Linked DNA regions of Caenorhabditis elegans. The protein of the gene in region 1 interacts with the protein of each later gene in a pairwise test. Each region holds a gene or a part of one and is shown on either strand. Other genes may lie near its edges.

Region 1 (8,133 bases):
TCATATTGGAAGAAGGAAGACGTGGTATTCTTGCGACAATGAAATCGAGAGATATTAGATGGGAAAAGTTTGAGCTTTGCAGTTTCAAAACCTTGAATATCCTTTTCAAAGTCACGTGACTCTGAGGAAGAGTGTGGATACGAAAAAATCGATATTTTTATAAAAATGTTGAGTAGTAGATTTTCGACTTACCTTCTATTTCTTTGTGTGGATTTAGATAACTTTCAGACAAGATGATCTAGCCTTCTGAATATAAATATCACATTTCAAGTTGTACGTTGGTATATGTGAATTATTATATTTCGTGTGTTCAGTATTTAGTGTTACCACGTTCTGTGGAGCGAAGTTGCGGACACAATGCGCGAGAGTAGTGGGAATTGGAAATAAAGAATTGTGGTCATAAGATTAAGCCTAAGTTTCAATTTTTAGCACTATTAATCTACATTTTTCAACAAATTATTATCACGAAATATCTATTGAAACATGATAGAAATAATTTTAATTATTATTTTTCAGATATTTGAAATACTCTTCCGTCCTCATGCATCCAAAGCATAAAACGTGCGTTTCAATCTATCATAAACGTATTCACAATTTTTATTCAGTTTTTAATGCTGACGTTGATTTACCAAATTCTATATTTCTGCCCATTGCATGCATATATATATCATTAACTATATATAAAAAAAATACAGTTCGTCTGTCCGGAGTTTGTAGTCTATGTAGTCTTTGTAGTCTGTGACGTCACGCCCGAATTTCAGTGAGAATAGTGGGCGTGGCACCCTTCGTGGTGAGACCCATCGTGGTGAGACCCTTCGTGGTGAGACCCATCGTGGTGATACCCTTCGTGGTGAGACCCAAAATGTTGGCGGGAAATTCAAATTTTAAGTGAAAAAAATTTTGGCGGGAAATTCAAATTTTCAGTGAAAAAAATTTTGGCGGGAAATTCAAATTTTCAGTGAAAAAAATTTTAGCAGGAAATTCAAATTTTCAGTAAAAAAATTTTTGGAGGGAAATTCAAATTTTCTGAGAAAAAGATTTTGGCGGGAATTTCAATTTTGGTTTTGGAATCATCTGGAAAATTCCAGAAAATTCTATAATGTTCTAGAACTTCTGGAAAATTCGAGAAAATTCTGGAATGTTCCAGAACTTTCTGGAAAGTTCCAGAACCTTCTGGAAAGTTCCAGAACCTTCTGGAAAATTCGAAAAAAATTCTGGAACATTCGTGGTGAGACCCATAAATTTTGACCGAAAACTCAAAATTTCTGAGAAAAAATTTTTGGCGGGAAATTCAAATTTTCTGAGAAACTTTTTGTTAGCTTAAGTACCACCTCGAACTGGCGAGACCCATCGTGGTGGGACCCTTAAAAATATGGGCGAGAACTTCAAAATTTATGAGAAAAGAAATTTTGGCGGGAATTCAAATTTCCAAGAAAAATTTTGGCGGGAAATTCAAATTTTCTGAGAAAAAGATTTTGACGGGAAATTCAAATTTTCTGAGGAAAACATTTGGCGGGAAATTCCAATTTTGGTTCTGGAATCAATTTTTGTTTCAGCACCTTCTGGAAGTTTCAAGAAAATTCTAGAATGTTCTAGAATCATCTGGAAAATTCAAAAAAGTTCTGAAATGCTCTACAACCTCCTATAACTGTAGGAGTTTTTATTTGTTTCGTCACATCTATATTCAAAGAACTTACTATTAGTAGTTAATTATTCAGACTTCTCCAGTTAAGGAAAGTTATTAACTTATTGAAAAAACTGTAACTCTGTGGAATTTTTTCGGGGGAGGGGGACAGCTCGCCACCCCAACAGTGAGAAAAATAGTGTGGTGCGCGGACCTCGAATGATGCTGATATTACCTGGGGTACCGCTTTTTGCCTTTTCCCCGTGAGTGAACGAGAAAAAGGCGGGGACTATTTTGGCGTACACGCAACGCAGTTTTATAATTTTGAGTGTAGAAAAATCAGAACATTCTAACTGTCTCTTTGAATTTTCTGAATCGAATACCATGGAAGAAGAAAATGCGATTTAATCGATGAAGTTTCAACTTTTTTAATGATATATTTTTGAATGATTAAAAGGACATCTATGTGTTATACATTTTAAACTCCGCCAGTCGTTGGCCGCGCCGGAGGCGCGGTCATCGGCTGGTATATATATATATATATCTACTCATATTAGTTTTTTTTTCCGCTAAAAAAATATACTATTAGAATTTAAATTTAAAAAAATTATTACTAGAAAATGGAATTTAATATTAAATTTAAAGAAAAACATGTTTTTTGAAAGTAGTTTGAATGCATTTACAGGTTACTGTAGTTTTAAAGGCGCATGACATAATTTTAAAATTTAACTTTTTCGCTGCGATACCTTCACCGCGAGAAATCTTTTTTGTGACATAATTTCTTCATTTTTGTTGGTTTGTTTTCGCTGAAACTGCAAAAATTGAATTTTAAAATTGTATTACTAATTCAAATTGCGAAAAATTATGCGAAAACTTTTTGAAAACCCGCATTTTGTTGTAAATTTTCCGATTTTAAGCTAAAATTATGGTTTTCTAGTTAATTTTTTAAACTTTATCAATTTTCAAAATTTATTACTGCTTAGATTTGAATTTTAAAATTATTTAAATAAATTACAATTTTTAAAGCGCTTTGAATGCATTTAATGGTTACTGTAGTTTCAAAGGCGCATGGCATGAATTGTAATTTGAATTGCTTCGCTGTGAGACCCTCACCGCGAGCAGTCTAATTTTTGTGACCTATTTTCTCAATTTTCATTTGTTTCCTTTCGCTGAAACGCGAATAGGTTGATTTATAAATGGTTTTTTATCAATTAAATTGCAAAAAAATGTGCGAAAACTATTTAAAAACCCATATTTTGTTTTAAATTTTCAGATTTGTGCTAAAATTATCGTTTTTTTTCAGATAATGTCGGGAACAAAAGTTCCCTCTTTACCGAAGGGCAAAGAAAAACCGTGTGTGGTTACTTTTGCCACACAAAGTGATCGATCTAACGAACCGCCACCACAACCGAGAGTAAGGAAAGTGACAACAATCATCAATACATTAGGAGTTGTCGTTCGAAACACAACAACAGAAATTGGAGTTTGGGTGTTCACTTCCTGTGTAGAAGTCTCTTTTCCAAGATCAAATTCACCGATATTCTCAGTAAGTGAAGTTGAATAAACGAGTTCTCTAATTTTTATTTCAGAATTTCACATTGGGCACTTGGATGATTGTTGGTTTATATCCTGACGCGACGGTTGCTTCATGTTCACCATGGCCTTTGATTCTCAAAGCTTACGAGATGAGTGTATCATATGGAACTGTATTTATGAAACGAAAGGCTTCAGAACTTTGTCATGAAAAGGTTGGACGTGAACTGTTTCGCTCAATTGACGGCAAAACTTTCAGACGGTTTTGTATAGTGAAGTGGTCGTCCCGCTTGTGAATCCATATAGCAACATGTCATATTTCGAAGTTAGTGCAAGGTCATAATTCCATTTTTAAATAACTAAATTTTCAGCGCGATCCTCATCTCACGGCGGAGCTGTACATGATTCCTGGATTTGGCCGTGTGCTCGGATCCAGCGCTTATCGGCAGTACTTAGAGGACAATAGAGATAACGTTTCCTTCATAGTTCAGTATTGTGGAGGATCATTACGCGGTTGCAGTTGGATAATGTCGGTGGTTGATGGAAAAGCTCAGACCGATGGCGAGTTCAGTGACAAAGATCTCAGAGAAATTGCTGAGTTCATTCGTGAAAGACACAACAAAGAGGTTTAACACACATTCGATTAATTAGAAATTTCAAAATTAAAGTATTAAAACTTTTTCAGAATGAATCACCCCCTTTGCCGTCTAACTCTATCGCTCGTCACGCCGGATTCGTAACAGAAGTGTTCCCACAAAAAAATTATCTTTATTGTTGGTCACCACAGGTTTCCTTGGAAGCAGATCATACGGCGAAATTTCCGCAGCCACCAAAACATAGAGAAGTAGACAGTCCAATGTTGTCTCCGCTAGTAGGCCAATGGATCCAATTTGATGTGCAGTCAAAAGATTTGGATAAGTATATGAGCACGAGATCTGGATATCGATTGAGCATTCAAGAATATTTACCCATCAACAGTCCGTGTGGCGTCGGTGTTGTTCAATGTGGTAAAATTGTTCGAGTGAGAAAAATCTATCCTAAATGTATTTTAATTATTTTATTTTTTTTAGGTCATGATTTCATGTATTTTGGTGAAAAGCACCGATCATCCGATGTTGTTCGAATTACAAATGTTTGGACCTGTCATCGATAAAAAATCGTCTTTAATTTCGGGAGCGTTCATGCAGATAGTCCTGGAGAAGACATCATCGAGAATCCGTAGAATGAGTGGAGTTTGCTGGAGAGTAATCTATTCGCTCATTGTGAGCGGCGCTGAAAATATGGTGGAAAATTCGCAGAGCGTGCGAATCGAGGCAATTTCCCAACGAGACGCCATGGAGACTTCTCACATCATTCCTATAGAAAAGCGTAAGTAAATTTGACAGATTTCATGTGAAATTCGATTCATCACATGAATTAGAAGCAATGTTATTCAAGACCTAGTTAAGATTCCATGGCTTATTTCCAATAATGATGTCTCATTTACAGCCTCTAATTCAGGAACTATTACAAACAATACTGGAGTGACTACATTGAAGTATCAACAGCCCCATCAAAATCCCCATTATCAGGAGCAGCGTCGAGATTATTACATGGGAAACAACATTCAAATTCAAACAGCATATAATTCCACACAACTTCGGAAGTACCAACCGAAACCGAAGAAATTCTCGTCATATACCGGAGAATCATTGGTTCGCTCTAGGCCTATATTTTTTTTCGAAATTAATTTTTTGCTTTTTTCAGGAAGGTCATGCGCTCGTCGAAAAGATTATGGCTCATGCGAAAACCGGAATCTTATGGTTCTTTGATAATTATAACTCCAGTGGTATAACTTTTCAGAAAAAAAATTATTTGAACACATTGAATATATTCAGTTCACTTCATTTTCGATGATTTTGAGTTGAATGTTGGTGACTATGCGTATGTGAAGCTGATCCAGAAGAAAGAGGAAACGGCTCATCTGCAATTTCGATGGAAATGGATATCTGGAACAAAGAAACTTTCACCATTCAATTGTCGCATCGATCTGTTTCAGTTGTTTGTATGTTTTCAGAAATTATGATAACTTTAATTCGGTTCATTTTCAGATAGAGGAACAAGTGTCTTACAAATCAAAGGACATGTTAAACAGAAACACATACACTTCCAAAAACTTTCCGATAATTTTCGATGCTGATGGAATTATCAAAAATCCCATTGTAAGATAAAGTCGTTTCGTTCGAAACATAAAATTAATTATTACAGCCAGGAGCCATATATTGTGTGGTTATTCTTCGAAAGAAAATTCAAGTGACGCAAACGGAAAGCCCGGTAAGTTGAATTTTTTTTATAAAGATAATAAAGTTTTATATTAATATTATTATAGACTCACAAATATCAATGGATTATTGATTCTGCTCAGAGCAATCCGTTTATTATAACGGAATACTACAATCCTCACAATGCTTTCAACAGATCGTTCATAGCCTCAAAGCAATTTTCGAGTTCAGCAGCTTTATCAACTGGTAAACAATTATCTATATTAGCTACTATAAATAAACAAAAAATTAATTTCAGACTCGAAAAAAGGATCCTCCGGTTCTGAAAAATCATCGACGTCTCCTCCGCTGAAAAGTCTCACGCCACCTTCAGATGAATAATTATGATGACTACTAACTTTTTCTTCTGTTTTGCATGTTATTTAATCATATTGAGACAGATCTCCCTACCTGAAAACGTGTTCTTTATAACTTGCCGGGTGCCGAGTTTTTCACGGTTTCTGTCCAACTTGCGCATTAATCGCGCCCCGTATTTGTTGTATTTTATAAAAGTTTCCCAGTTTCTTATTAAACTTTGTATCTCTGTTCATATGTACCATCCGTTTCCACCGGAAAGTTGTATCTTCTTGAGAGCATTGAGAGGCCAGAAAGAATTTTGTTTAGTGAAGCAAAACATTTTTCACTTTATTTAATTGCCGATTGATTAAAAAACGCCCCCAGATGTCCTGTTTTCTATTACAAAGTTTCCCGTCTTGAAACATTGACCGTTAATATATTTTAGTCATAAATAATGCTCGGATTAGCCGCACAACGAAAATCAAATGGGAAAGTCGCCGTAGTCTCGTGAGTTTGCTATTTTTTCTAAATAAAATAATATTTTCTCGAATTAGGTTTAATAAATATTTTCAACTTTCAGTCCAACAGATGGAATCGAGTTCGATGTTAACGAAGATATTCTGAACATCCACATGATCTTTCTGGGAGACTTTTGCCAAATCAATGTTGAGAATAATATTCCGATTTCTTATTCAAAAGTGGAAGATGCGTTCAGGTCTTTAAAAACTGAAGTGAGAACAGATACTGTTGAGGTTAGTAAAAGCTTAATTTTCTTAAATATTTGTTTTTATTAATTATTTATTCAGGTATCCGGTGACACAGGAGTTCTAACTAGTGGACTTGCTCCATTTTATAAAACGAAAGAATTTGGAGATGTTGCTTGTAAAGGCCAGGCTCCAGGAGAGGCTGGAACAAACCATAATATTATTGTGTCTAGGTAAGATTTTTGTATCACTCAGATGTGAGATTTTTCGATTTTTTGCGTCAAAAAATACAGTTCCCGGTCTTGACACGAAAAAGTTTTTTCTAAATTCGAAAGGTGTGCGCCTTTAAAAAGTACTGTAGGATCCAAGCGTTGAAATTTTCATCGATTTTTCAAGGTTTTTCTCTCGGATTTCTTATATTTTTTATCGAAAAATCGGCAAAAGTTTTGCAGCGGCGAAAGTTCGAAACTACAGTACTTTTTAAAGGCGCACAACTTTTCGCATTTAACAGAAATTTGTCCTGTCGGGACCATTAGCCGTATTTTTGATGAATATCTCGCATCTTGATAGTATTGTGTCGTACTTTAATATACTTTTGATTTTTTTATTCAGATTGCCAGAGGAACAACGTATCGGTCTATACTCGAAGTTCGTTTGGCAAGGATTATCGGATGGAAAAATAGAAGTGATCTCCAAAACGGCGGGTGTTCTAACTGAAAGAAAAGAGAATAAATCGAATGCAAAAAAATCTGAAGCAAAATCGAAAGAAGAATACACAAAATATATTATCGGAGTTGTTACTGGAAAAAATCAACGAAATAACGCAGTTTTCGTTACTTGCAACCTCACATATCCAGGAACCGACGGAATAATCGAAAAGAGTCAACTACAAATTGGTGATTGGGTTGAAATTCGGTTTACGAAAAAAGATTTCGTAAAATACTTTCCATCAAATCCAACTGCAGATACACCGAGATTCAATGTGAAACATTTCGAAAAAATTGAAAAAATCGAAAATTACTCTGTAACATGGGCCGGCAACGGACCACAAGTGAAAATCAGAAACTTTCAATTTCCGGCTGGACACGTTCAAGGACAATCTGTCGAGGATAGATTCCTGGGAACTATTGCAATTAGCAAAAAAATTGTTACCAGTGAATCTAAAGTCGATGTATTGATCAAGCACCGAAAATTGTTCCAAGCCGGTGACGGAAAACAAGCGACTTGGTTTTTCAAAAATGTCATAAAATCTGAAAAAGATTCGGAGGATTCGGGGGATTCGGAGAATGAAAATAGTTCATCTACGGTTTGTAATGGAGATATTTTCCAACAATTTTTTAGTCTTTCTTTCAGGATTCTCGTCCATCAAAACCAAAGAAAAATGTAGAAAATAAGAAGTCAGAAGAAAAAATTAATAATTCAAGCGAAAAAAAGGAATATTCATCCAATGTACCAAAAATCAACTATTCACATCTACCTGAACCTTCTCCAATGAACTGGCAAATGGGACCACCAGGAATCATGCATCCAATGAGACCAATTGGACATTTTGGAGCAATTCCCAATCCACTTATGTATTCAATGCCGTATATGTCAAATATGGCAATTCCTCCACAAATGATGAATCGTCAGCCAGTTCCAACGAATAATTCTGAACCGGTGATTCATAAAAAAG
Region 2 (5,510 bases), on another chromosome or scaffold:
TAGTAAGAGTGAAAAAGTGACGGACACGACCTGGAAAAGAGGATTTCTTTACAATGTAGGTTAATAAATGTTAAAAATCAGAAGTAAATCAGATTGTAATTTATTGATTTCTGGCGTTTCCAAATTTTCGGGTCTCTCAAGTTCAAAGCGGCACAAGAAAAGTTTGAGCCAAAGTGTTCCAAGAGTTTGATCAAACTTGGGACAAAATCTGGCGCAGCCTAAATCCAGGTCTTGTCAAAATCTTGCCCAACTTTCGCCGAAGTTTTGCCAATTTCTCATCAACGTTAATAGTTTTGGGCAAAACGTGGGCAAGAAGCTAGAGCCAAATACCGAATAATTCGATGAAAAAGGTGTCCAATGTGCTATTATTGAAAAAGGTGTCCAATGTGCTTCGCGATGTGCTATTATTCACTTTGAAAAATGCAAGAATTTTGCAATGCACCGCACATTAACTTTCAGATACATCCCATCTAAACAGTCTTAACTTCGCTGGCACTTTTTGGCAACCTGAAGAATTCTTACCGTAATATGTCCTTTGACTCCATTGTGGCTTCGATATATCTGGACGAGTCTTTAGATTGCTGACAAGCTCACTCATTTTAATCAAATGAGAACTAATAAATGAATTGTTCTGTGGTTTTGTAACGTTTTTTTTGTTTCTTTATTTTTAATTTGTTAGACCGTGATTTACGTGGCACTTATGTATATATTTTTAATTGTCTCATATCCAAATTTTATAATTTTTCAGAATTGAAAAACTGAAATATAAACTTCTGAAAAAAAAGAGTTCCTCTCTCCCGTTTTCAAACGGAAATTGTGAGTCAGAAGTTTTGGTTTCAGAGAAGGCAAGAGGAAAAAGTACAGCAGCGAATTGTTTAGGAAACTCTTTGATTATTCATCATTTGTCAGAAAAATTGTGAAAATAGAAGGAAGAGAAAATGAACTGAAAGTTTCAAAAATTTTCTGGCTTCATCCGGCAGTTTTTTTTTGCAGCAAACATTTTTTGAATTTTTTTGAAATAATTTTTAAAGCATTTTTAGTGCTCTAGATTATTTTAGGATAAAAACCCATCAACTTAAATATAAAAAAATAGTCTTTTTATCCGAAAATAATTTTTGTTTTACTTGAAACAACTGCAAAAGTGCCGAGCAATACGAAAATTGCTTGAAAAACCAGAGAATTTATCGGAAAAAATTTCCGGCAATTTTTGTGCACTTTTTCAGATGTTCCAAGTCAAATAAAAATAATTTTCAAATAAAGCAAAATAAATTTTCCGAAATACGGTAGCTTTAAAAAGTTACAATATTCTTAAAGTCCCCACCCAAACCTTCTTTATTAAAATCTCCCCATCACCTTTTTGCAATATATTGCAAAATCCAACAGCTATGCATTTGAATCCAAACAGCAGTCTCCGCAGCCTCTCCCTCTCTTTCCTTCCCCCTTCCACCACCCAATTCCCCAGTCCGTCAGTACACGTATGTCTGTACACTCTTCATCTTGCACACTCTCTCAGTCCCCACTCACTGCCTGCATCGCAGCACTGCTTGTCCTTCGATCGATGACCGCCTGCTGACTGCTGTTGACTGCCCGCATGCTGCTGCCTGCTGGCTGAATTATCTCATCACTATAGGCCACTTATGCTCAGTTTTTTTTCTTTGTTTCTAGAAATTCATTACCGTAGGATTTTAGTAGGAAATTATTTGAGTTTTTTTCAACCTGATTTTTCGCCGAGAATTTAGGAAAATTTGGAAAGAAAGGGAGGATTTTTTTCAAGGTTTTTTTCCTCATATTTCTCCGAATTCTTCCGTGACTTTTAAGATATTGTAACTAATTTTTTTCTCAGAATGGATCCAAAATTTCTCGTAGTAGAAATAGACTCAAAGGAGCGAGCACTTCAGTTGGTTCAAGTTATGGTGGGTTTTTCTAGTGAAAAATAACTAAATTGGAAAAAAAAAAGTTTCAGCTAGAAAATGGATTTGCTCGATTCATGCTGTTGGACGATCTTTCGCGACACCCGACTCTCGACAGAATCCAGAGAGAAGAGCCAAGAATTTCAAGAGATGAACTCCGTGAAACAGCTTCATCTCCTGTCACATTTGAAACTCGACATTCTCCATATCCAGTGCATGAGCAAAAGTAGGTGGTTTTTTTTTAAATATTTTTTATTTAAAAAATGGAAATTTTTGAGATCAAACCTTATATTTCACAAACAATTCAGAAAAATTCACTCTTAAAAGAACCAATAAAAAAGGTTTTATTTTGTCGAAAACTTCTCTTTCGCCAAAAAAAAAATTTCCGAAGCCTCACCTTCTGCCTTTATTTGCTGTATATTCTCTACTAGTCTTTCAAAAAGTTATATCTCGGTTCATTTCAAAGATATCAATAAATAATCAACAGCAAATCTATAGAAAAACATTTAACAAATATTTTGTCAGTCGAAAGTTTTTCAATAAAACAAACGACAACTGAGTTATCAAATTTATCAGTTGGTTGAAATACTATTAGAGGAAATACGGTATAATACTTAGCAGAAAAGTTTTTACAAATAAAATTTGCGACTTTAAGTTCATCAAATTTTCAGAGTTCTATTTCCATCGTTTTCACAAGTTTCGAATTCAATGGTGACATCTACGGGCATCCGACAGGAAGCTTCAAGTGTTGGTGTTGGACCGATTGAAGACGACGATATTGTTGAGGAGGAGGAGGAAGAGGATATTCGACTTACTAGCAAGCCGTGAGTTTATCTACTTTAATAAATCTACTGGACATTCGAGAAATTAAAAAAAAAAGATTTCAGGTGTGTCAAACGCCGTTATGATCATCACGCCGAGGAACAGGAGTATAGAGATCAACTGATGAGCTTGTTGAGTGGAGAACCGGAAATTGTGCCTATAGGTGTCAACTCGGTTAGTAGTTTTTTCTATATTCCAAGACTCACAATTCCTCATTTTCAGAACGACGAACCATCTGGCTCCAACTCGGATTCTGCCGCGAAAAAGGCCAAATCCGTCGGCGACTACCATGAATGTCAGCTCTGTGGAGTTCGAGTCAAAACGCCTAGAAGCGGTCGATGGAATCTCCAAATGCATGTGATTGCTCTTCATTGTGTTGGAAGACAATATAAATGCAAGCAGTGTGATTACTTGGACTATCGAAAATCAACGATGAGAAAACATACGGTTTCGCAGCATGGAAGTGACATTCCGCCGCATAATATTACGTGAGTTTTGGAGTTTTTTCAAATCAAAATTTCAAATATAAATATTTTAAAACAATACCTAAACATCCCCATGCTGCTAGAATCAATACAATTTATTTTAAAAAGGCTTTGAAATATTAATTGAAATGAAATTATTTGTGAACAATTTTTGTAGAAGTTTCAAATTTAAAAAATCATATTTTTCCAGGGACAACATAATGAAAGCTGAATGGCATGCTGCAATGATAAAATGTTTCCCTGAATTTGCTCACAGAACTGGGTTCTTAAACTGATTCATCGCTCTCATCGCCAAATTATTTATTTTTTGATACCATTCCAATTTATTATATTCCTGATAAAAAGTGACAATTTGATAATTATATTGCAGTTATAAAGCGGTTAGATATACATACATCACCAATTAGATCAGCTTAACCTTAGTGAAACCCTCAAGTTCATGAATCGCCTTTTCAATGTCTTCTACTAAAATTGTGTTCCATCCGAGCTTTTCTGCAGCTTCAATGTTTTCATGGAGGTCATCCAAAAACACAATTTCCTCTGGTTTGACTCCGAGTCTTTTCTCAACTAAATGATAAAATCGAGCGTCTGGTTTCATGAGATGCTCCAAACAAGATTCTACAACTTCATCGAAATGTGTCAAATCGCATGGAAGTCTGGTTTCCTTGTGCTCCTGAAAATCATTGAACAAATTTTCAATATTGATAGGAACTCGATTACCTTATCTAAGAACATGTTGTTTGTCAGCATGGCGGTTTTGAAGCCCTTCTTGTGAAGAATTTCCACGGTTTTTTGCATATTTTTGTGCTGAAAATGCTAGGTTCAGGGCAAAGTTTAGAAACATTTTAAGCTTACAATTTTAACATTTTCTCCACGAAGGCACTCGGTGAATGGTTTTATCACAACGTTGTCAGTCAGCTTGTTTCCATACTGAAAGTTTAAAAAGTAAGAAAAAATTTCAAAAACTTTGTTTTGAAAATAAGGAAATTCATGAAACTTGCAATAAATTTGAATTTCAAACTTCCTAAAAATGTAGGAACGATGTTTCAGCTGTATCTTTCTGAAATTTTTTCCAAAAAATAAAGTCGATGGAACGTTCAAGTTTTTTTATAAAAATTGATGGATGTTCAGATTTAAATTCTCCAAAAAATCTTGGGGGAAATTTACATGTATTTTTCGAAAAAAATTGAAATTTCAAAACTTCAGAAAAATTTGGCGCATGTACCAATATGCATATTTTTTTGTGAAAAAATTTAGAACTTGACTCACAAGAAAATTTGCGAGAATTTCAAAATTCAATATTTCAACAGAAATTTTTTTCCCGAGATTCACATTGTAAACTTTTTTAAAAATTTAGGGAACAAAGCAGGAATATCAAAATTCCAGTGTTCAAAAAAAATTCGACGGGAAAATTCAAAATATAATTTTTAAAAAACATTTTTGGCCAAAAAAGTGTTTTACAAAAGTCAAAATTCATTTTTTAAGAGACGCTTAAAAATTCAAAATTGATTAAACCTCGCCTACCTTATGCTTCAAATACTGCAAAAAGAGACCTCCTTCCAAATCGTCGACAGTCAATGTACCCAAGAAAAGACTTCTATCGGGTCCCAACCACTGCGAAAACTCAATTCCGACAGATTCACTGTGTACAGCATCATCAGGAAGTCCAAGTGATCTTGACATGGCAACCCATTTCTCCATAACACCTTCATAAGAGAGTAAAACTCCTCCGAAATCGTAGACAACTGCTTTAATTTGCTGGGTCATAGTCATTTTGAAACTGAAATTGATTTATTATTTTAGGAGAAAAATATTTTAAAAAAACAATTCAAATGAAACGAAAAGTCTTGAAACTGAATACTAAAACAAAAAATGACATCAAAACTGAACGAGTTGGTCTTTAAGCATATTCGGAAGCAGGCAGACGCAGACAAAACGTGCGTTGTCGCTGACTAGATGAGTGTACTTTCATCACTAGAAAATATAAAATACGCCACCGTCGATAATATCAGTTACATATATATCAGCAGAAAACACGAAAATGAACGAAAAAGAGAGAAAAGTTAAAACGGGTTTTGTTCCGATGAACTCTCAAAGATGGTGGGGCAAAGAACAAAATGCTAGTGTGGAGGTCCCCAGGCCCCCATGAAATGTCTTTTTCTTCTCTTTTTTTCTCTTTTCCTCTTCACTATTTCCCTCGCTGGAACTGAACGTTAAGAAATATAAACCTTTGGAGTTTTTAATTCAAAAAAAAAAGGTCAAAACCAAAATGTTCAAAAAGTCAACAAAGATC

The links. The genes of interacting proteins can lie anywhere in the genome.
Region 2: the proteins of B0001.7 (region 1) and lir-3 interact in a two-hybrid assay, tested with the Caenorhabditis elegans proteins (one large-scale study listed by BioGRID).

The regions. Positions count from the first base shown.
Region 1 is NC_003282.8:12,149,040-12,157,172, reverse strand, and holds B0001.7 (Movement protein), read left to right. Parts: upstream 1-2,927; 5' UTR 2,928-2,930; coding exon 2,931-3,170; intron 3,171-3,213; coding exon 3,214-3,372; intron 3,373-3,416; coding exon 3,417-3,482; intron 3,483-3,528; coding exon 3,529-3,783; intron 3,784-3,842; coding exon 3,843-4,178; intron 4,179-4,227; coding exon 4,228-4,525; intron 4,526-4,645; coding exon 4,646-4,851; intron 4,852-4,903; coding exon 4,904-4,985; intron 4,986-5,034; coding exon 5,035-5,201; intron 5,202-5,247; coding exon 5,248-5,358; intron 5,359-5,404; coding exon 5,405-5,470; intron 5,471-5,525; coding exon 5,526-5,664; intron 5,665-5,716; coding exon 5,717-5,799; 3' UTR 5,800-5,981; downstream 5,982-8,133. Other genes in the region: B0001.2 (uncharacterized protein), read left to right, coding at 6,209-6,261, 6,335-6,506, 6,561-6,691, 7,071-7,764, 7,812-8,133.
Region 2 is NC_003280.10:11,181,141-11,186,650, reverse strand, and holds lir-3 (Transcription factor lir-3), read left to right. Parts: upstream 1-1,843; 5' UTR 1,844-1,844; coding exon 1,845-1,913; intron 1,914-1,963; coding exon 1,964-2,136; intron 2,137-2,581; coding exon 2,582-2,734; intron 2,735-2,797; coding exon 2,798-2,906; intron 2,907-2,954; coding exon 2,955-3,220; intron 3,221-3,407; coding exon 3,408-3,492; 3' UTR 3,493-3,576; downstream 3,577-5,510. Other genes in the region: sfxn-1.2 (Sidoreflexin), read right to left, coding at 1-30, 523-598; bigr-1 (HAD family phosphatase), read right to left, coding at 3,621-3,890, 3,938-4,024, 4,073-4,147, 4,742-4,990. UniProt on the Caenorhabditis elegans protein: Positively regulates the RNA polymerase III-associated transcription of small non-coding RNAs.